Linked DNA regions of Oryctolagus cuniculus. The protein of the gene in region 3 binds, or shares a complex with, the protein of the main gene of each other region. Links are inferred from orthologs where the notes say so. Each region holds a gene or a part of one and is shown on either strand. Other genes may lie near its edges.

The links.
Region 1: the proteins of JARID2 (region 3) and AEBP2 are in contact, whole or in part, in a cryo-EM structure (PDB 8VNZ), measured with the Homo sapiens proteins. The link is inferred for Oryctolagus cuniculus from reciprocal best matches to the Homo sapiens genes JARID2 and AEBP2. Residues at the interface, in NP_004964.2 of Homo sapiens: Ser148, Lys151, Pro152, Lys153, Thr154, Glu155, Asp156, Leu158, Thr159; in NP_001107648.1 of Homo sapiens: Arg407, Ala410, Ile411, Asn414, Leu415, Glu420, Ser421.
Region 2: the proteins of JARID2 (region 3) and EZH2 are in contact, whole or in part, in a cryo-EM structure (PDB 8VNZ), measured with the Homo sapiens proteins. The link is inferred for Oryctolagus cuniculus from reciprocal best matches to the Homo sapiens genes JARID2 and EZH2. Residues at the interface, in NP_004964.2 of Homo sapiens: Arg108, Pro109, Arg110, Leu111, Ala113, Gln114, Arg115, Lys116, Thr154; in NP_001190176.1 of Homo sapiens: Arg78, Ile131, Pro132, Tyr133, Asp136, Ile146, Lys156, Val157, Asp160, Arg161.
Region 4: the proteins of JARID2 (region 3) and EED are in contact, whole or in part, in a cryo-EM structure (PDB 6C23), measured with the Homo sapiens proteins. The link is inferred for Oryctolagus cuniculus from reciprocal best matches to the Homo sapiens genes JARID2 and EED. Residues at the interface, in NP_004964.2 of Homo sapiens: Pro109, Gln114, Arg115, Lys116, Phe117; in NP_003788.2 of Homo sapiens: Pro95, Phe97, Tyr148, Arg306, Asn307, Tyr308, Cys324, Asp362, Ile363, Trp364, Tyr365, Arg414, Asp430.

The regions. Positions count from the first base shown.
Region 1 is NC_091440.1:117,093,438-117,098,414, reverse strand, and holds the start of AEBP2 (zinc finger protein AEBP2), read right to left. Parts: upstream 3,527-4,977; 5' UTR 3,320-3,526; coding exon 2,661-3,319; intron 1-2,660. UniProt on the Homo sapiens protein: Acts as an accessory subunit for the core Polycomb repressive complex 2 (PRC2), which mediates histone H3K27 (H3K27me3) trimethylation on chromatin leading to transcriptional repression of the affected target gene.
Region 2 is NC_091434.1:174,689,464-174,694,216, reverse strand, and holds the start of EZH2 (histone-lysine N-methyltransferase EZH2), read right to left. Parts: upstream 3,370-4,753; 5' UTR 3,353-3,369; coding exon 3,102-3,352; intron 2,637-3,101; exon of another isoform or gene 2,307-2,636; intron 1-2,306. UniProt on the Homo sapiens protein: Polycomb group (PcG) protein. Catalytic subunit of the PRC2/EED-EZH2 complex, which methylates 'Lys-9' (H3K9me) and 'Lys-27' (H3K27me) of histone H3, leading to transcriptional repression of the affected target gene.
Region 3 is NC_091436.1:155,486,291-155,491,258, reverse strand, and holds the start of JARID2 (protein Jumonji), read left to right. Parts: upstream 1-1,949; 5' UTR 1,950-1,956; coding exon 1,957-2,382; intron 2,383-4,968.
Region 4 is NC_091432.1:77,386,542-77,391,330, forward strand, and holds the start of EED (polycomb protein EED), read left to right. Parts: upstream 1-1,626; 5' UTR 1,627-2,411; coding exon 2,412-2,525; intron 2,526-4,789. UniProt on the Homo sapiens protein: Polycomb group (PcG) protein. Component of the PRC2/EED-EZH2 complex, which methylates 'Lys-9' and 'Lys-27' of histone H3, leading to transcriptional repression of the affected target gene.

The DNA.
Region 1 (4,977 bases), on a different chromosome or scaffold from region 3:
ACAGCTAAATATTTCTCCCAAAAAAAATTCTACCTGTATTATAACCAACGTAGAAGTAAAATTGCATAACAATTTTAAGATTTTCTAAATTTACTAAAATAAACTTGCTTACAAACTTACACTGGTTTTGAATAACTTTCTCCTGGGGACAATGAGCAACTTTTTTGTGCCAAGTGTCATTCAATTTTATAAATCAGTTCCTTTTCATCACCCAACACTTCTAATACATGTTTGTAAATGACAAAGGTCACAAACTACTATCTAATTTTGTATTTAATCATTTTTAAAAGTAGTACTAAAAATAAAAAACACTTAGCTATGATTTCAACAAATTTTAAACCGTATCAGATAAATTCAAAAGTACAATATTATCTCAAAATGACAGAAAAACTAAATATGCATTCTAACGGTTTTGATAATGGAATTACTTTAACAAAAATACCTCAAATTTTTTAAAAAGCAACTTAAAACTAAAATATTCTATCAGTCACAAAAATAGACTTCCTACTATGAAAGCAACCTGTCAAATCAACAAACACTGCTGTAATCTCAAGGATAGTTTATAAAAATTATGGAGCCTTTCCAAACTTAAAATAACAGGGGAAAAAATTAAAGCTTGTTAACAAGGAAGTTATTTCAGAATTGAGATTATGAAGACAACAAAGCAGTTTCATAAGCAAGGCTTTCATACAGCTGACAATATCACCCTGAAACACAATTACTACATTCTGTAATCTCAAGAAAACCAATACGCTTATTTGGACCTATGAGACCAGTTTCTTAACTCCTTACTCTCAGAATTCTTGTATGATGAAAAATTACATCAAGTTCGAGTAAGTATAATAAATAGCAAATGAAGCCAAAACTCCACATCTTGAAATATTACTTGATCAATAATTCATGGTCTCCTGAAGGGATGTAGTGGACAGACTGTTAACTAAAGCAAAACAAAACTCTGACACACAACACTTGTTATTTAAGGTGAATTATCCTAATGCTTGTGAAATGAAAATCACAAGGGACTTGAGAACATGTGTTCAGATCCAGCTCCACCATTTCCACCTTACATTTACTCTTCTGAGTAAATCATTCAAGTTGCTTCTACATCTGTTAAATAGTAGTCAAAAATAACACCTATCCTAAGAAATTTTGAGAATGAAAGGAAGACATTTAAACCACGCACTGTTAGGCAGGCATGTGCCCGTGTGTACACTGGATTAGATGCTCACTGTATAAACTTAACACAAACTTTAAAATACACATTGATACTAATGGAAGAGGATATAGGAAAACAATAAATGGCAGATTCCTCACGGTTCAGTTTGCATCAACTGTTAAATTTTTATTAAAGATGTCCTCCTTCCTACCCATACCTATACAGTTCAGCACAATTTTCCTAAGGTCTGTGCAGTCTATTTTACTCCAGCCAGGATATTTTTCTAACTAGATGCTAAAAACAGAATTTAAGATTAATGTTCAACATATTCCAGCTCTTGTATTCCTAGAAGCATATAAATTTAAGTGTTCACTTTCATCAATTAAGAACCAAAATTCCTAAAACTTTAGAAAGAGCTTTTAAATCAAAATCACTACTGACTTAAAATTTCTGCGTGTCAAAACATTAGCATGGTCAAAATAATTACTATTCTACTTTAGAAGCAATATAAGCAAAAAGTGAGTTCCAAAAAAAGTACATCAAAACCCAACTAAAGTTTTCCAGAGATCGAAAATAAAGGTAGCAACAATCGAAAAATAAACTGAAATAAATTCCTTAAATGTCCCTAAAAAAGGGGGGGCATATTGTTGTTAAGTCTCTAACGATCTTTAGGAAAGTAACACTAATTCCTTCAGAGACCTCCCCGATACAAGACTTTAAATATCTAAAAATCACTGCATTGCTACATAATTAAGATTTTAAGCCACACACTAATGCTGTACCGCTGATTCCAACTCTCTAATTCTGCAAAGTTATTTTAAAGGAAATCAATCCACTACTCTTTCCCACAATGATTTTATACTTGTTTTAAACTTTTTCCCCGGTTTGATAACAAAACAAACAGGAGAAAAGACTAAAATCACGCTGGAGACCACATTCCCGATTAGCAACGAGGGATTGGGGAAAGCAATCGTTAAAGATAAAAGAATAGTCTTTTCTTTTTCTCTTCTTTTTTAAAGTAGAGCCAAGTGCCAGCCGGGGTCTCCTGGCTGGACAAGGAAGTTCTGCCGAACCCGGGCGAGACCAGCCATGTTGGAGAAGCGCTTGTCAACCGGGGTGACAAGTGCTGCCCAGCACGGCCCGACGAGGCTGACCTTGCCGGCCCGGCGCGCCTCCGGGCCCTCTTCGGTTCCGCCCGCCGCCCCGGGCCCGGCCGGGGGTCGCCTCCGAGGGAGAGCCGCGCTCAGGTCCGAGCGCCGCGGCGAGCCGAGGGAAGAGGGCGGGGAAAGCGCGGAGTCGGGGGGAGACGGCTGCAGAGTTGGAGCCGCTCGCCGCGGCGAGGAGAGGGGCGCGGCGCCGCGCGGCGTCGGCGGCCGCCAGGGATTTCCGAGACCAGAACCTGGGGGAGGGGCCGCGAATTCGGGGTCCGGAGGTGAGAGGGCGCCCGCCGAGGGGCCCGGGAGTTGCAGCGGGGGAAGGGAAGGGGCCGCGGCGGGGCACTGACCTGTCCTCCGAGTCCATGCGGCTCAGAGGCTCCCCGTCCGACGACATCTCCAGGCTGCCTCGCCGGCCCCCGGAGGTCGCGCTGCTTCCGCCTCCCCCGGTCCCGTAGCCCTCGTCGCCGCCGCTGGAGACGACGCTGCTGCTACTGCTGCCGCCCCCGCCGCCGCCCTGGCTGCCCCGCAGTCCCTTGGGCTCCTCCAGGCCCTCCTTGCCGTCCCCATCCCCGCTGCTGCTGCTGGCGGCACCGGGGCTCAGCGAGCGCGTCTCGTCGCTGCTGCTCCCGCCGCTGCTGCCCACCAGGCTCTCGGCGCTGCTCTCCTCCTCGCCCCCGCCGCTGCTGCTGCTCTCGTCCTCCTCCTCCTCCTCCTCGTCCTCCTCGTCCTCGTCCTCCCCAGCCTGGCTGGCGCTCTCGGGGCTCGGCTCCGACATCGTCTCCGCCTCGCCGCCCCCCACTCCGCCGCCGCCGCCCCCGCCGCCGCCGTTCAGCAGCAGCGCCGCCACCGCCTCGGCCTCGACCTCCTCCTCCTCCTCCTCGTCCTCCTCCTCCTCCTCGGGGGGCTCAGCCCGGCCCCGCGCCGCCGGCCCTGGGCTGCCGGGGGGCAGAGGGCTCAGGCGGGAGAGCTCCTCCAGGTCGGCCATGTCGGTGATAGCGGCGGCCATGGCGGCGCCTGCTCCTCCTCCTCCTCCTCCTCCTCCTCCTCCCCGCTGCCGCCGCCGCTGCCGCCGCCGCCTCCCTCTCTCGACTCGCGCTCGCTCGCTCGCCCCCTCCCCAACGCCCAAAACTCCGCGGCCGCCGCTGCAGAGCAGGAGGAGGGCTCGCGGGCTGCGTCAGCCTGCACACGCGCTACGGAGCCCGCGCGGGGACAGGCGCGCACTCACGCGGAGCCGGCTGCGCGCCTGCGCGGCGGCCCCAATGGCGCCGCCCCCGGCTCCGAGGGCCGCGCCCCCCGCGCGGGCCCGGCCGGCCGCTCGGAGTTTCCTGCGGGCCTTCCCACGCCCTCGCGGGCGTCGCGGCCAGCGGGACACGCGGCCGGAAAGCCCGGGACGCTGACCTGGGGATTCCGAGCGGACGCCCTGCGGGTTCCCACGACCCAGTCGGCGGCCCCGCGGGGATGTTCGGGGAGTGTCCCTGCGTGCGGACGCCGCGCCAGAAATCGGGCACGTTCTGGCCGCCTGAGCGCTTCCAGTCCGCGAGGACAGGCGCTGGCGAACATAAATACAAAATGATCAGCTAGGACGCAAGTCCGTTCTCCCGGGCAGAGCGCAGCCCAGCGCCGCCGGCCATAAGTGAACAAACTCAGCCGACGTCGCCGACTCGCGGTCGCCACACTGGAGCACCTGAGCCCCGAGCGCCTCCTCGGCCCGGCAGGTGCCTCCTAGTGCGGTCTACACTGAGGTCGCCTTCCGTTCCGGCTTGTCCCTAAGTGTCCCCTCTGCCACGCTTTTTTAAACACAGCCAACGGACTCTACATACCTCAGGGGTCTGGTCTGCAGCGAAGGCAACCCCTTTTTATTTAAAGGGCAGAGTTCACGGAGCTCTTCCTCCCGCTGGTTCGCTCTGCAAATGGCCGCGACGGCTAGGGCCGGCCCGGAGCCACGCGCTGCATCCGGGTCTCCCGCGTGCGTGCAGGGGCCCGAGCTCTGGGGCGCGCGCTGCTTTCCCAGGAGTCTTAGCAGGAAGCTGGATCCGAAGTGGAGCAGCCGGGACGCCAAGCGGCCAGGCGCTGTATTGCAGGCCGAGGCTTTACCGGCGGTATCACAAGGCCAGCGCCTTTTATATGTGAACCATTAACGTGATTCCTTCACTTTCTAGGACTCTTATTGCGTCCCACCTCACCTCCAGAATTTTATCCTAAAAATATATTTTATACTTAAACTGTTGTATTGATCACTTTACCAAGTTTGCTGGTCATAAAAATGTGTGTATGAATTGAAATTTGCAGGTTATTTTTTACATTTTATGCTATCATAAAGGTTTACGTCTCCAACAACATCTTATTTCAGTGGATCAAAACATAGTTTAAGTAATTGAAAATAATAGCAAAAAAAAAAACTACTGAAATGCATCTCATAGAGATGTAGTTGTATGGATTTGTTTCCAATTAGTCTGTCAGTGGGTGTTAACTATAATGAGAACAAGCTCGGAGTCAATTCTATTACAAGTTTTCAATTCCATAAATATCAGCATTGAGAAAACTTGTTCGAAGAAATAAGCAGGGGCCAGCGCTGTGGCACAGTGGGTGAAGCAGCCGCCTGAAGTGCCAGCATCCCATGTGGGCGCCAGTTCAAGTCCCGGCTGCCCTTCTTCCAATCCAGTT
Region 2 (4,753 bases), on a different chromosome or scaffold from region 3:
ACACCAAACATGAATACTAATAATTGTACCTAAAGGACTTCTAATTTTCAATATCATAAATTATAACTAGGAAGAACCTTAAAGACTAATTTATCTTGACAATTATTTTTCTTTATAATCACTGCTTCTCAGAAATGGAGGAAAAATATTTTCCAAAGTTCTCTATAACACAAATATATCCTGATTGCTTTGCAAGTTCCTCTGTCAAATGATTTCCCTATATTTTCCATATTCTCTTAATTCGTTCAATTATTAAAGTCCGTGTTTTCTAGCAACTGCCAACGTAAGTGCTAGGTATATATTAAGAAAAATAAGAGAGCCTCTGCCTCCAGGCAGTTAGAATGCAGTGAAGGAGCCCAATGCATAAACAAGTGATTACAATACAATTTGATACATACTGTAATAACAGTATGAACAAAGACTTCTGAGAACACAAGAGTGCCTGGAAATTGCGGGAGGGCCTCTGGAAGGTAAAGTTCATCATCTGATCAGGAACCATTCTCTGAATTTAACAAATTGCTTGTCTCCACTTATGCTCTCATTCAAACTAATGGTTTCACCAATCCATAGAGAATTCGTCATCATTTACAAAAAATGTATTCATCAACAATACACGCATAAAGACTTCAAGGATAACTCATATATCATTTCTCAGTGACCCCCAAATTCATTGTATGATCAACCGAGTTGTCAGTTTTTTAAAAGAAGCAGGCCAACTTTCTTACTCATGGCTCATTTAAAGGTTAATAATAAATTAAATTTACATCCCTTGAGAATGCCACTTCAAAGGATAAAAGATATCCTGGAAAAACTCCAGTGTGACCTAGAGAAATCTGCCTTAAAATTTTTAAATGGCCAAAACAGACCATCATTTATATGTACACGTGCAAGCAAAGCCAATATTAAAGTATTTTTGTTTTATCTAACTACACTAAATCAACAAGTGCTTTTTATATTGCTACTTAAACTAAGTAATTCTAAATTAAAAGATTCATAAAGCTTTCAAAAATAATTTAAAACAAAGTTTAAACCAATTTCTCAGACTTTTTTAAAAAATATCTATGGCAAGTACAGATAGTGATTATCAAATACAGAATACACAAGGGCAAAATTAGAATTTCTTATCCTAAAATACCAAAATTTCTGCCAAAAATCTGCACAACTAGCTCATAACAAAATACCCAAGGTTACTACTATTTTTAAATACATAATTGTCAGCAAATAACATGGACGTAAATGTGATTTCATAATGTCAACCCTTAGAGTAGCACCTGGAATGTGTTGCTCAGTGATGTCCAAAACGCTGCAAAATAGATGTAACACAAAATTTTAGACTGTATTTGTCTCCATGTCTCTAAAACCACAAGTTAGTAGATGCTTATTTGACCTTCAGATAGAACACTATGTGATCAGAAGATAGCCTATGTTTTTCTAACTTCCTTTCTTGGAACATATTCACTTTCTACAAAAGTCAGAATTTAAAAGAGCAATTTTCTCTAAACATTACATTCCCCAACACACCTCCAAAAATGGAGAATAGAATTCTTTATATCTAGAGTAGAACAGACTAGAATCCTGTATGCCTAATTTTAAGGGGATTATGTACAGGAAATTAAAATATGCCCTAAATATTTTTTATTTTCTTGCAAATAAAATTAAATAAACCAGTTAAGACTATATACTTGTTCTGCATTCTTCTAAGTGCTCAATAACAAAGAGTAATAGAAAATAAACTCCAAAACCCACGTATTGACAACACTCCACTATTCCAGAATTAGTCATTTTTAAAGGTTTAAGTGCTATGTTATGTGACATTAAAACATCATAAAATTAAACCTAACTTCTTGAAACCTAGAAAGTAAACCTCATAGTAAAACACTTTAAATAAAGATTCTTATTTCCAAATGAATCTAAATTTCACAGATCCTGGGTGAAAAACAAAGGAATTTTAGGTTAACTGTGGGCAGCATACATTCAATTTTTCAAGCAACGAACACTTCTGCATCCAGTCTTTTCAGACTCACCAAAGCTATTGTTCAGGGAAAGCAAGACCAACTAGTAAGAAACTGCTAACCCTAGAGCCTAAACACATATTCGGAATGGGCATTTTATCTGGATCACCTATTTCTACCATCAAATCTTCATTCAACCCCTCGGGATTGGGAAATAATCGCCGACTAAATGACAGTTGACTTCGTTAGCACCTGTCGCCAGTCCCAGATGTACCACACAAGTTAGTCAAAACAGCTTGTAATTTCTTAGGAAAAAAAAAAAAGAGTATGATTCTTTAAAAACTGGGAACTCACTATGCGTTCACCAAGTTTTCCGAAATCTCGCGCTTCGTGCGTCCTCCTATTTCCAAAAAGTCACCCCGCGGCAGAGCCGTGCTGCTGAGTGGAGGGGGTCGCACAATGAAGCGGGAACTCCACAGAACGGCCTCGGGGCGAACAAAACCCGCGGGGCGGACGCCAGCTCCGCGCTGCCCTCAAACTTCACGCGCAGCCCGGCGGGGAGGCGCCCCCAGCCCGGGTCTGCGGCGGACGCGGGGTCTCCGGGAGACGTCAGACGCCCAGCTCCTCCGGAGTTCCCACGTCGCGGCCGCTGCCCGGAGCCGGCGCGGGGCGGGACCGAGCCCTGCCCACCCGCGCCCGCGGCGCCCCGCGCCCCCACGCGCCCGCGGCCGGGGACCCCCGCGTCCTGCCCTGCCCTCACGCCGAGCTCTCCGGAGACACAGTCCGTCCTTTGTCTGAGTGCGGACTCGCGGCTCGCTCCCACCAACTTGTGTGTGTCCCGTCCCACCCGGGCGCTCCCGCGGCCCCGCCACACAAAGGAGACCTGAAGCTCGGGGCGACCACCCGGACCGGGCACCGGAACGCCCCCGGCCCCGGCGCCCCGGCGCGGGCAGCCCCGGCGCCGGGAACCCCCCGCCCCGCGCACGCCTCGGCTCCCTCCTCGCATCTCCGGGGAGGGTCCGCGCTGCCCCGCTCGCGGGGTCGCGCGGGCCGGCCCGCCCCTCACACGGTCCCCCCAGAGGGGTCTCCCCTCTCCCCTCCCCCGCGCCCGCGCGAGCGGCGACCGGGGAAGCCCCGCTCGGACGATACCGGGGACCGGCAAGGAAGCGGCGGGCAGGTCCCCGCGTCGCCGCCGCCCTGGGTCGCACTCCCGGAACCCCGCCGGCCGAGCTGCCGACAGCGCGCGTTACCTTCGTCCCGCGCGCCAACCCGCACCGCTCCCGCGCACCGCCCCCGCGCGCCGCCGCCGCCGCCGCCGCCGGGGCTCCACTGCCTTCTGTGTCCCACTGGGTGTCGGACGCGACCGGACCGAGCGCCAAACGCGACAGCCCAATCGCCATCGCTTTTATTTGGCCCCCCCAGTCCAATCAAGCGCCGCCCCGATTGGCGGGATGCGAGGCGGGCGCTCGTCCAATCACAGGGCCTGCCGGGCTCGGAGGCGCCGAGCGAGCCCCACGCAGAGCGCGCTCGGGACTCGCGGGCCGGCGGGCGCGCGGGTGCGCGTGCGCGCGAGCGGCGGGGCCCGGCCTGAGGGACGCGGCTCACCGTGTGGAAGCGCTGCCGCCGCCGCCGCCGCCGCCGTCTCTTTGTTCTTTGGCTGAACGCTCGGCGCCTCTCGGGAAAGCGGTGGGCACGGAAGGCGGGGACGGGGCAACTCTGTGGGGGCCCGGAGGCCGCCGCCGGCAGAAGGCGGGAAGGGTGGGGTGGCGGGAACCGGCTGGAGGGCGGGGCTACGCGCTCGCGGCTCTTGGCGGGAACCGGCGCCGTGGAGTTCCCGGCGGGGGAGGGGCGGGCGGCGAGAGCCAAGTTTGAACCAATTCAAAACTCGGGGGCGGTAACGGTTTTAACTGCCGCGCCGATTTCCCCGCGCGCGGCGCGCGGAGCGGAGCGGGGTTGCGGCGCCGAGTTTACGGGCGGACCTGCCGCGCGGCCTCGGTCTCGGGTGCCCCGCACGCCCGCCCCCCGGGAGAGCCGTCACTTTTACTTCGGTCTGAGGCGGCCGCTTTCCCGCCCGCACTCGGCTGGACTGAAGCCGGCAGAGCCTGCGGTGCCTACCCGTAGAAACCTGGGGCCGAGAGGCCGGACGGTTAGGGCCCCTTTGTCGTGGAAAGCGCCCCTCTCGGACCCTTCCTGGTGATTGTCGTTCCAAGCACGTGCCAGCGTTAAAATGTGTTTATTCAGGCTGCGTGCGGTTCACGTGCCTCACGCTACGTCTCTGCAGAGTATTAAAGCGATGGCAGCGTCTTGGGGTGGTTAGAAAGTGATGGGGGGGGGGGGTGTTAACCTGCCTCAAAGGCGTCAGAGATAAACTGCTTAGGGTACAATCTCTCCTGTGCCTTATCTGGCGACGAAGTTAAAAGTATTCCAAAGTTGTTTTCCATATGATGCATCTGTAGGGCAAAATACCCTTTTTCACTGGGATCCCACATTGGGAGATCAGGCTGGGAATTTTTAAAAGGTCAACTATGGACTGTTGGGTAAAAAGCCTAAAAAAATGTTTTATGAATTAATTTTGTAAGTTAGCCCATGATTTTCCCATCTTTGCTAAATCAACATCTAATTCCTCATATATTCTGAACCAATTAAGTGCTGGAAAATATATGACAGGAAGCCAAAAGAGAAAAAAAGCAATCATGTGCCCCCGTAAAAGCCAAATTACCTTACAAATAAATGTTGGAAAGAGTCCAGAAGTAGATGTTATGCCTCTTCAATGTGACTATAAAGTAGTGAACTCTGTTAAT
Region 3 (4,968 bases):
AAAAGTCGGATTACAAGATCAGCCACCACCAACAACAATAAAAACCACCAGGATATTTTTTTGCAAATTTCTGACGGCTTTAAATTCATGAAGCAATTGTCCCCTCTTGCAATCAGCATTTGGATCTCAGAATGAGCAAGGAAAGACCCAAGAGGAATATCATCCAGAAGAAATACGTAAGTGCTCCTAACAACACAGCCTCTGGCTTGCAGTTTTAAGCAATGGCTGTGAATGTCAAGTTTATAGATAATTCTGCAGCTGAAGGGCTTTAAACACAGCGTCCGAGAAGGCTGTTTTCTTTCTTTTCTGAAAGGGCTTCTCAGGCAAAGTCGTGTCTGCCTAGTTTGGCTGAAAAGCCAGATTGGTGTACGATATCTCGAGTGAATAAATTGACCTCGAATGACACAACCATAATCTAGTTTTAGATTGAAAGGCAAGGGGTTTTGGTGGAGCTTGGGGGTGGTGGTGGGGGTGCTGCGGTAAGGTAACTAAACTGCATTCTCCGGTGGATTTGGCCCCATATTGCACTTTGCACATGGAGATGAGGCCATGTTATTATTATTAATGCTATTTGGAAAATCGCGTAAGGCATGTGTGTTGGAAGCCCTTTTAAGTTCAATCGAGGGTCCGATTATGGCGATCTTCTCTCTGTACTGGTACATCGCATTTAATGTATGTGGTCGTTTTGGCTTATCTGGTTTGCAACATGAACCGGTTGGGAATCGTGTTACAGCATATGCATTTGTTGGAATTGACTTTAATAATGAGGCTGGTTTTGTTTAAAAAATTCATGGTTTCCAGTTTTAGGGGAAAAAGACACACACGCTGGCTAATGTTTTCAAGTATGTATGTTAATGCACATGGAAGTGACCACAAATAATTTTCCCCTGCTAACTGGGTTTGTGAAATTGGGCGATTATTCAGAGATTTGAATGGTTTGGGATAGTTGAATTTGTTTTGTGCATAGTACAGCTACATTTTGATTGGCATAGGGAGTGTTTTTGTTTTGTGTGTGGTGGCTTTTTTTTAAGTTTGGGGGGGAGGAATGAGGGGGACCGAGGGATTAACCAAATATGCACTGGAGTGATCGGTGATTAGCTAGCTGCATGCTTTAAAGGGCTTTAAAAAAAAAGGCCAAATGAACACATATTAGAAATATGTAGGATTATAAGAAAGTTTTATTTAAGTCGAGTGAACAAATTGGTGTTAGCATTTTCCCTTTCTCATCGGTGTGGTGTGTGTAATGGGAGATGACCTTCGGGGAAGTGGTTCTGTACAAAATATATTTAATGGAAAAGCTGAATGTGTCTTCTGGAGGCTGATGCTAATCTAGACACGTAAACTTCAACTAGGAAAGAAAGCAAGGTTCAATAATCGAGCCTAACTTAGAAAGCTGTTCCACAAAGAATTTAGGAATTAAAATACATCCGCATTGCAGAGGGCTGGGTGGAATGCAAAGGACTAGTTTAAACTCGGGCCGTAGAAACTGCATGGAGACAGCTTGCCTGAGCGTGGACGCCTTCTCGGGGCACGTCCGTTTCGGATGCAGGCACAAAGCAGACGGGGTAGAACTTGGACAAGAGCCGCCCCCGCCTCCCCATCCCGGACCTCGTCAAGTTGCAGCGCGGCATGGGCCGGGTTTTTGTTGCAGGCGGTCCGCTGGTGGTGTCGAGGCCGGGTGTCCAGCCGCCGGCCCGGAGGCAGAGCACGGGTTAACGTGCCCGGAGCGTAGCCTGTCCTCCCGACGGGCCCGAGCCGGCAGCGGAAGGAGGGCGCCCCGGGGTCGCGGCGGGCAGGCGGGCGCGCGGCCTGTAGGGGGCAGGCTCTGGGCTCCGGGCTCTGGGCTCCGGGCAGGCGGGCGCCGGGCTCCCAGGCCGGCTCGCGGGCGGGCAGGCGGGCGGGGGCGAGCACGGCGGGGGCGTGCCGGGGCGGGGGCGCGCGGCGCGCAGGCAGAGCATGGCGGCGCGGCCGGCCTCGCCCGCTCCCCGCGGCCCTGCCCGCCGGCTCCGACGCAGGCTTCGGAGCAACAGGTTCAGCGGGAGAGACGTCGGCGCGGCCCCTCGCCAGGCCCCGACCCTCCCCGCGCCGCGCTCCCGTGCCGCCGGCCCCTCCCTCCGCCCCCCGCGGCTCCAGGCCCCCTGCCGCTCCCGGCCGCGTTCTGTTGTCATTGTGACGTCACAAAGGGTCGGGCCCGGGTGGAAACGTCCCCTCCACCGTGACGTCACAAGTCGGACAGGAGGTTCCAGGCGCCGCGGGGCTGCCGAGGGAGGGGAGAGCGGGGCGGGGGCTGCGGCGGCGCGGGGCTGCGGCGCGAGAGGAGGACGAGCAGGAGGATGCGCTGGGCCTTTGCGTTCTGCCGTGGATCGCTGCACTTCCCACCAGGTGAGCACAGGAGCCTCGACCCTCCGGAGGGTGCCCGAGGACCTTGCTCTGAGGCCACTTGGGTTGGGAGCGGGTCGGGGCGCCGCCTCCGCAGGAATGTCTCCTTTCCTCTGTACCAGTGCCCCTGATGGGTGTTGCGGTCCTGCTGAGCTCCTGCGCCACTCACCAGTGCTAGTGGAAAGGAAGGCGATTGAATTCAGCGGAAGCTTTGCTTTGTTGGCAGCCCATCTGGTGGATTCAGCCACTTTATCACTTTCTGTTGTGTGGGGGTGTGTTGGTAGGATTCGTCCTTTCTGGAAGACTTGCAAGTACCAGGGTTGAGATCTCTGTCTTGCCGTGCCTACTGAGTAATTTTGAGGGGCTAAGCTAGGGAAGACTTGTACATCTACGTAGAGGCACAGTGCGCCTCTAAGTTGTATGGTGTCTGGACGTAGTGCTTCTGCGCAGGGGCGAGGCTCACATTCTGGGTCTGCCTTCTCCTCTGGAAACTGGAAAACATCGTCTCTGCCTTTGCCGCTTGCAAGGCACCGAGAGGATCACCAGTGTGAGACATGTAACACAGGACGCCGCTTCATGTGTAAGATGGCATTATGGCATTGTGACTTGAGCTGGTGGAAGACAGCACATTGCCTACAGTTGATCTCAGAAGCCTTAGATGCCTGCCAAGTTGCCATTTAGTTTATTGCTTTAGGAAAGAAGAATTTGGGGGTATGATTGTGATGGTAGGCTTCGGGAGAAGTGATTGTTATATTTCTTATTAAGTGGCATCCATGAGAAACTCATAAATTGCAGGGTAATCCTGTCTTAATTGTGTTGGGCACGACTCCCACTACAGTACCTTAAATAACTGGAGACATTTGCCTTTTAAAGTCCCAATTCACTTGCATAATAAAAACAGTTGCATATTTTGCTCTGTGGATCATTTCTGTCTCTCCACTGATTGGTTTTCCTGGGGAGAATAACAGTATAACCAAACTTCACAATCATTTGATCGTTGCATTATAATAGGAGTTTAAAATAATAATAAAGAAAATCTGCCCCATGAAGAGAATACAGTTAAACATGGAACTAACTTGGAAAAAAAAATGACCGATTTGATTTCTAGGCCAGCTCAAGCAGAATTTGTACCACTAAACTGCAAGTTTTAAGTATTGTTTTCTGATGTACAAGTGGAGTTTGATTAAAAAAACCAGAGAAAGTTTGCCATGAGGTACAAAAGACATATTTATTTGCTGCAATTACATAAAGTTGGAAAAAACAAGAAAGAATTACATTGAAATATAGTGGTCAGGTTTATGAGTTCAGTTTTTGTTTGCTTATTCTTTTTTCCCAGTTTTTTTTTTTTTTTAAGGTTTTATTTATTTATATGACATGTAGAGTTACAGACAGTGAGAGAGGTCTTCCTTTCGTTGGTTCACTCCCCAAGTGGCCGCAATGGCCAGAGCTGTGCCCATCCGAAGCCAGGAGCTGGGAGCCAAGCACTTGGGCCATCCCCCACTGCCCTTCCAGGCCACAGCAGAGAGCTGGACTGGAAGAGGAGCAGCCAAGACCAGAACTGGCGCCCATATGGGGTGCCGGCCCCTCTCCCAGTTTTAAACACATGTACATTTGGGTTATTCTGTAGTTATTTACTTGCTACCTCTTCCACTTTCTAATAGAAAGTCTTGAACTTCGTCGCAAGTCTAGGACAGACAATTCAGCAACCGTCTCTGTATAGAGAGTACTGAAGGTAATAAAATGTCACAAAAATTTTAAAATTAGAAATAAATTCATGTCCATAAAAATACAACTTGGTTATTAGCCCTTGGATGATTGACTTGTGGGTCTTCATAGCCACTGACCCAGATAGCCAATTGGAGTTATTTGGTACCTATAGAAGGTATAGTGGGTGTTTTTCCTGCACTGTAGGTTAAACCAGTCCCTGTTACTGGCTGAAGGCCATTGACTTGCTTCCAGGTGTCTTGGAAATAACCCCAACTAAAGTGTTACTATATCCTGCTCCAAAGGTCGTTTAAACTTTGGTTTTTCATAAAGAGATCTTTTCTAGTAAATAACTGGTATCTGTGACATTCAGAGTAGAACCAGTTTCCTCTTTTCCTTTCAAAGAAGACTGGGAAATTCATCCTACATTGAAAACATTTGGTAAAAGGGTAAATTGTAGTATTTTTAAGCTAGTGGTTTGTACTTGATCATGATGGTCATGTCCTAAAGCTCCTAATATTACTGGTACAAGTCTCAGTTTCACAGTAACAGCTAACCACCATCTCCCTCTATGTAACCTGCTAGCCTTTGGCTGCAGAATGTCCTGGGTGGCTGATAACCCTGCCTGAAGCTCTTGGCCAGTGGTTAGCTCTGGGGTGTGCCTTTGTCCCCTTTGGCTTTCACCCAGAAGGCTTGCCAAGTGTCAGTTGTTTGTTCCCAAATCTGGTTATTCCAGTTGGGCTTATTATTGTAATTACAGTTAAATATTATGTAAGCCTTGAAATTAGTGTGAAGAGTTGGTTTCTGTGAAAACTAAGTTGACTGTTTTGAGGAAGATGATACAAGTTGGTAAAAAAAAAAAAAAGGCTGTTCAATTAAGTATGG
Region 4 (4,789 bases), on a different chromosome or scaffold from region 3:
TTCTACTTTCATTTTATTTGAAAGGCAGAGAGACAGATACAGACACACACACACACACACACACACACACATACAGAGAGAGAGAGAGAGAGAGAGAGGATCTTCTACCCACTGGTTCACCCTCCAAATACCCACAATAGCCAGGGCTAGGCCAGGCCAACAGCAGCAACTCTTTGATTTTAAATCCCCACTTGTATTTGTTGTGTTTGGAGGAGCTGAGCCCAATTTCTCTCCCCTACAATCTTGGTCTCTTTCAAAATAGTCCTGAAGGAAGTATCAGAATAATTTATCTTTAACATTAGTTATAATGAATATGAACTAATTTCCATCATTCATCCATCCCAAACGTATCAGAACATATAAAAAATCCCTCCTAGTTTTAATAAGACTCTTTAAAAACATTTTTGCTTTGTTACAGATAACATGAGTGCTGAATATCTTTGGGTTATTTTCTTTTCATGTACCCTTTATCCAAATGGTCAGCACTTACTCCATGTTATGACTAGAAGCTGACTCCCACATCCCACTGGACCCACGCAGCAATCTGAAATGTGTTAGCTGATTATCCGTTCCTTGTAGAGTTATATTTCACAAACAGCTTTCTCAATAAAACAGAGTATCTGTCTTTGCCCAAAAAGGTGTCACACTGAAGCACATCTTACCTTTCTCATAGCTGACTCATCTGTCACATCTCTCCCCCACACCTGAGGAGTGCTTAGCAGTGCCTGGCACATTGAGAGTGTTCCACAAATACTGCAATTAGTAAGACCTGGACTTTTTCAGCGTCCATATTTTTCCTGAATCTTTATTGTAAATATGTCTTACTCTGCCCTCTCTTTGCTTCACTTTCCTTTTTTCATTCTCAACCAAGAATTCTCTGCTAACTTCAAAAGGAGGAATGACTTGCAATCTGCAGAGAGTAAAACAGATCTTCTCACTGTCAAATCATCTTGCAGAAGTAATTCAAGTATACTACAATTTTATGGCTGCGACACTAGACTGGTTATCCCTTGTGTCTTACGACGAGATCCAAAAGAGAAAACATATCAGGCAGGTGCTCAAGGTATGCTGGGTTCCTTCTCACTTCCACGCATTTACAGATGAGGACACTGAGGTCCAGAAATACCAGCACTCACAACTGTGTTCTAAAACAAAGGAGGCTGCGTTTCCTTCAGTTGTACGGCTTGATGACCCATCTGACAAATCAACAAGACTCACCAATGTATTCTGCACCTGTCAAGAGTGCAGATGTAAGTAACAGAAACTATTTTGGTGAAGTACTAAAATTGTATTGTTATTTGCCTGTCGCTTAAGTCTCACGGGTTCATAGTTGGAACTATCCACCGATTTATAGGCCTTTGAGTTTTTCAGGGCCTTGTTTAAAAAGAGCACTTGAGTTGTAGCTGTTCAAGGGTCTGTAATTTTAGCACACTTCTACTTAAACCTTAGCCAATATTGGCCACAACCGGTTGAGGTTAAAAAAATTATTGCAATAAATATTCATCAGACCAAACATCCGTCAAGAATTTAGGGTGCGTCCTGAGACGATGATTGGTAGCGCTTTGAAATCCATCCCTGGCTATGCACACGCAGTAGAAAACTACCAGGTTCAGCAAACAAGATTTCGAAAAGAGGAGGGGCCTGGAGGAGGAGGGACCCCCACAACCCAGCGCGAGAATACGCCTCGGCGCGTGCGCACCTCCAGGTGGGTGCCTTCCATTTGCCAGATGGGGGAAGCAAGTGCGACTCAGTCTACGGTTTTTAAATTCCCATCCTCAAGCAAAAGTTACGTTGGCATAATCTCGTGAATCTCGTGAAGTCGTCACCTCCCGAGTTCAGGTTTAAAGACTCTTGGCACGCAGAGCTTAAGCAAGAGGTGACTTAGCAAAGCTTCCCCCGTCCCCTGGGACACCGGTGGTCTACTCCATCCACAGACTTTCGCTCCCTTTGCAGCGAGTCGGAGATCGAAGGATTGGGCCAATTGCGGCTGAAACGTCTCTGGAAGGAGGAAGGGGGTGACGGAGCATCCCTTTTGAGTTCTGCCTGTTCTTTTCGAGGTGGTGGTGGGGACGGGAGACATACGAAATACTACCCTCTTAAGCCAACGGATCCTACATCTCCGTGCAAACTGCCGGGGGGGCGGCGGGAAAAGGGCAAAACGGGAGTCGGGAAAGGGAAGGAGCCAGAAAGCCGCGCAGGAGGGCGCGCGCGCGCGCCCCTTTTTCAGCAGTGTGGCGGGGTCGCACGCACGCCCGCCTCGGCGGCTGGGCGCGATTTGCGACACTGGGGGGAGCGGTGGAGGTGGCGGCGGCAGTGGCAACTTTGCGGCAAGCTCCGGACGGGCTTGCTTGACGGCGGTGTGGCGGAGGCCCCGCCCGAGGCGGCAGGAACCTGGGGGGAGGCGGAGGAATATGTCCGAGAGGGAAGTGTCGACAGCGCCGGCGGGAACAGACATGCCTGCGGCCAAGAAGCAGAAGCTGAGCAGCGACGAGAACAGCAACCCGGACCTCTCTGGAGACGAAAATGTGAGTGCGGCCCGGAGCAGCCACGGGACTCTGCGGAGTGGGAGTTTTTAGATTCTTTAAAAACTGCGGGTGCGGGATGGGGGGGCCGGCGCTGGGGCGGGGAGGGGGTAGAGCGAGAGGTGTCACCCCGTGCCCGGGATGGGGAGGGCGTGCGGGCGAAGTCGAACCTGTGTCTGGCGGGGATTTTGAGCCGCGGCCGAGAGCAGGCAGAAAGTTGGCCAAGGAGAGTGGCTTAAGTGAGAGCATGGGTCCGAGAGCTCTCCTCTGCCTGTGGGGAAGTGTTCGGGCCTTTGGGAGATAGAGGGAAGAGTGCGGGTCTGAGATTCCAGTAGTTTAAAAGGCGTGCTAGATTTTCTTTTTTTTTTTTCCCTAAGAGTGGGAAGGAGCGGGCAGTCGAGAACTCTTTCAAAGGAGTTCGGGCACTGTGTCGCTCTGACCCCTGTAGAATCTTCAGGATGCAAAGGGTAGATCTTTGAGTTAATGGAGTTTGAATGAGTGTTTAAGAGCGCCTGGTGTCTGCTCCCGTCCTGTGCGAATCCAATAATGAGAATCTAAAAAAAAAAAAAAATCTTGAACGTGTTTTAGAAAGCTGGTGCGAGCATTTCTCAGTTTGGCCTGCTTTAGGAATAAATGTTGTATCTCACACACGCTGTCCTTAAATTCCCCAGCGTGAATGCCTACTGAAGCGTGTTTATGGCATGGTGTCATGACCAGGATTTTCACGGAAACGGTGGGGGAAAGATTGCTTTCTGCAGAGAAGAAAGATTTCTTGGAGATTGTCAGCTTATGGGGTTTTGCACTTAAAATTTCTGGAAAGTTTGTCTGATATTACTTTAAATATATCTATATGTATATTTCTGTTTGTTCTCCCCAGTCTCACTACATAATTGGGTCTAACATTTTTTATCTTCATTCCAAGTCTTGAAGACCAAGTTTTATTTCTTCGTTTTCGTAAAATTCTGTCGGCAGATTAGGCTGCAGTTAGGAGCACAGACGCTGGATCCACATGTTAGGTTAAAATCCCCACTCTAACTGGTTGCTTGACCTTAAGCAAAGTATGTGACCTAGCTGCCTCAGTTTCTCATCTTTAAAATGGGTATAGAAGCTTTTTTTTTTAACTTTATGAGTTATTGTATTAAATGACGTAATATAGGTAAAGTGCTTAGAGGAGTACCTGCCCTATATCAAGTATTAAGCAAGTGTTATTTGTTTATAGTACTTATTTTGTGATCACCATAGTATGTTTCTTCTGGCTATTTCACATACTGACGAATCAAAATATGAAAATGTTAAATCTATTTAGGAGAATTTCAGGAGAAGAAGTCAATTGAAATCTTATTTTCTTTTTGCAGACCCTTAAGGAGAAATGCCAGTGTTCTTTGTTTCATTCTAAAGCTATTCAGATCCAAATGATTGGATTAGCCTTTGTTTGGGTTGCTCCATTTGGCTAGAAACTGTATGTGCCTTGGACCTTTTAATGAATCTTACGGAGCCTTCTCAGAATAACATTTTTAAATATATAAAATACAATATCTAAAGTTAGAATTTTGAAATTGTAAAGTGTGGCATAAAATATTTCTAAAATAAATTTTAAGTGTAGTAATATTAGCACTTTAAATAACAGGAACTAGCAACAGATCTGGTGGCAGTGATGAGTATAAGCAAGTTTTTCAATATCTGTAACCAATATAATGTGATTTCAAAATACCTGATTTCCATTGGTGAAAAAAATCATGTAACATTAGCACATATATTGTTTGTATTATATAATAAAAGGAAGTGCTAAATTTCAGTTAAGAGCTGTGAAAGTTAAAATGCAGTTTTTTGTGTGTGTGTTTTTATTTGAATTCACAGGCCCTCTCAATTCCATAAGGACTCATGATCTAGGACATAGTTAGGGAAGTCAGTAAGGGAAGGGGTAGAGAATATTGTACAAAAACTGAATTCAGAAAGAACTCACAGCTCTTGAGGGAGGTGAATAATGACAAAAGACCAAAAATAGGTGTGGGAAAAATGTGTTTTTGAGTTCAAGTTAAGACAGCTTGAGCAGTTCCTATTGTTAAAGTGAGTCACAGAATTGAAAGAACTTTTTTAAAGTTTATTGTGTATGTCATCTGCCATTTTCTCAAACTTATAAAGATCCTATTGACAGCAGAGTAGATAGCTTCAGGCTGAGTACTAATGGTTGCCGTGGTTAAAAGAGAAAAGTGAAGGCTGAGTCTAGAGACTTGTCTTTTTGCTTAAGTAACTTGTGCCAAGATTAA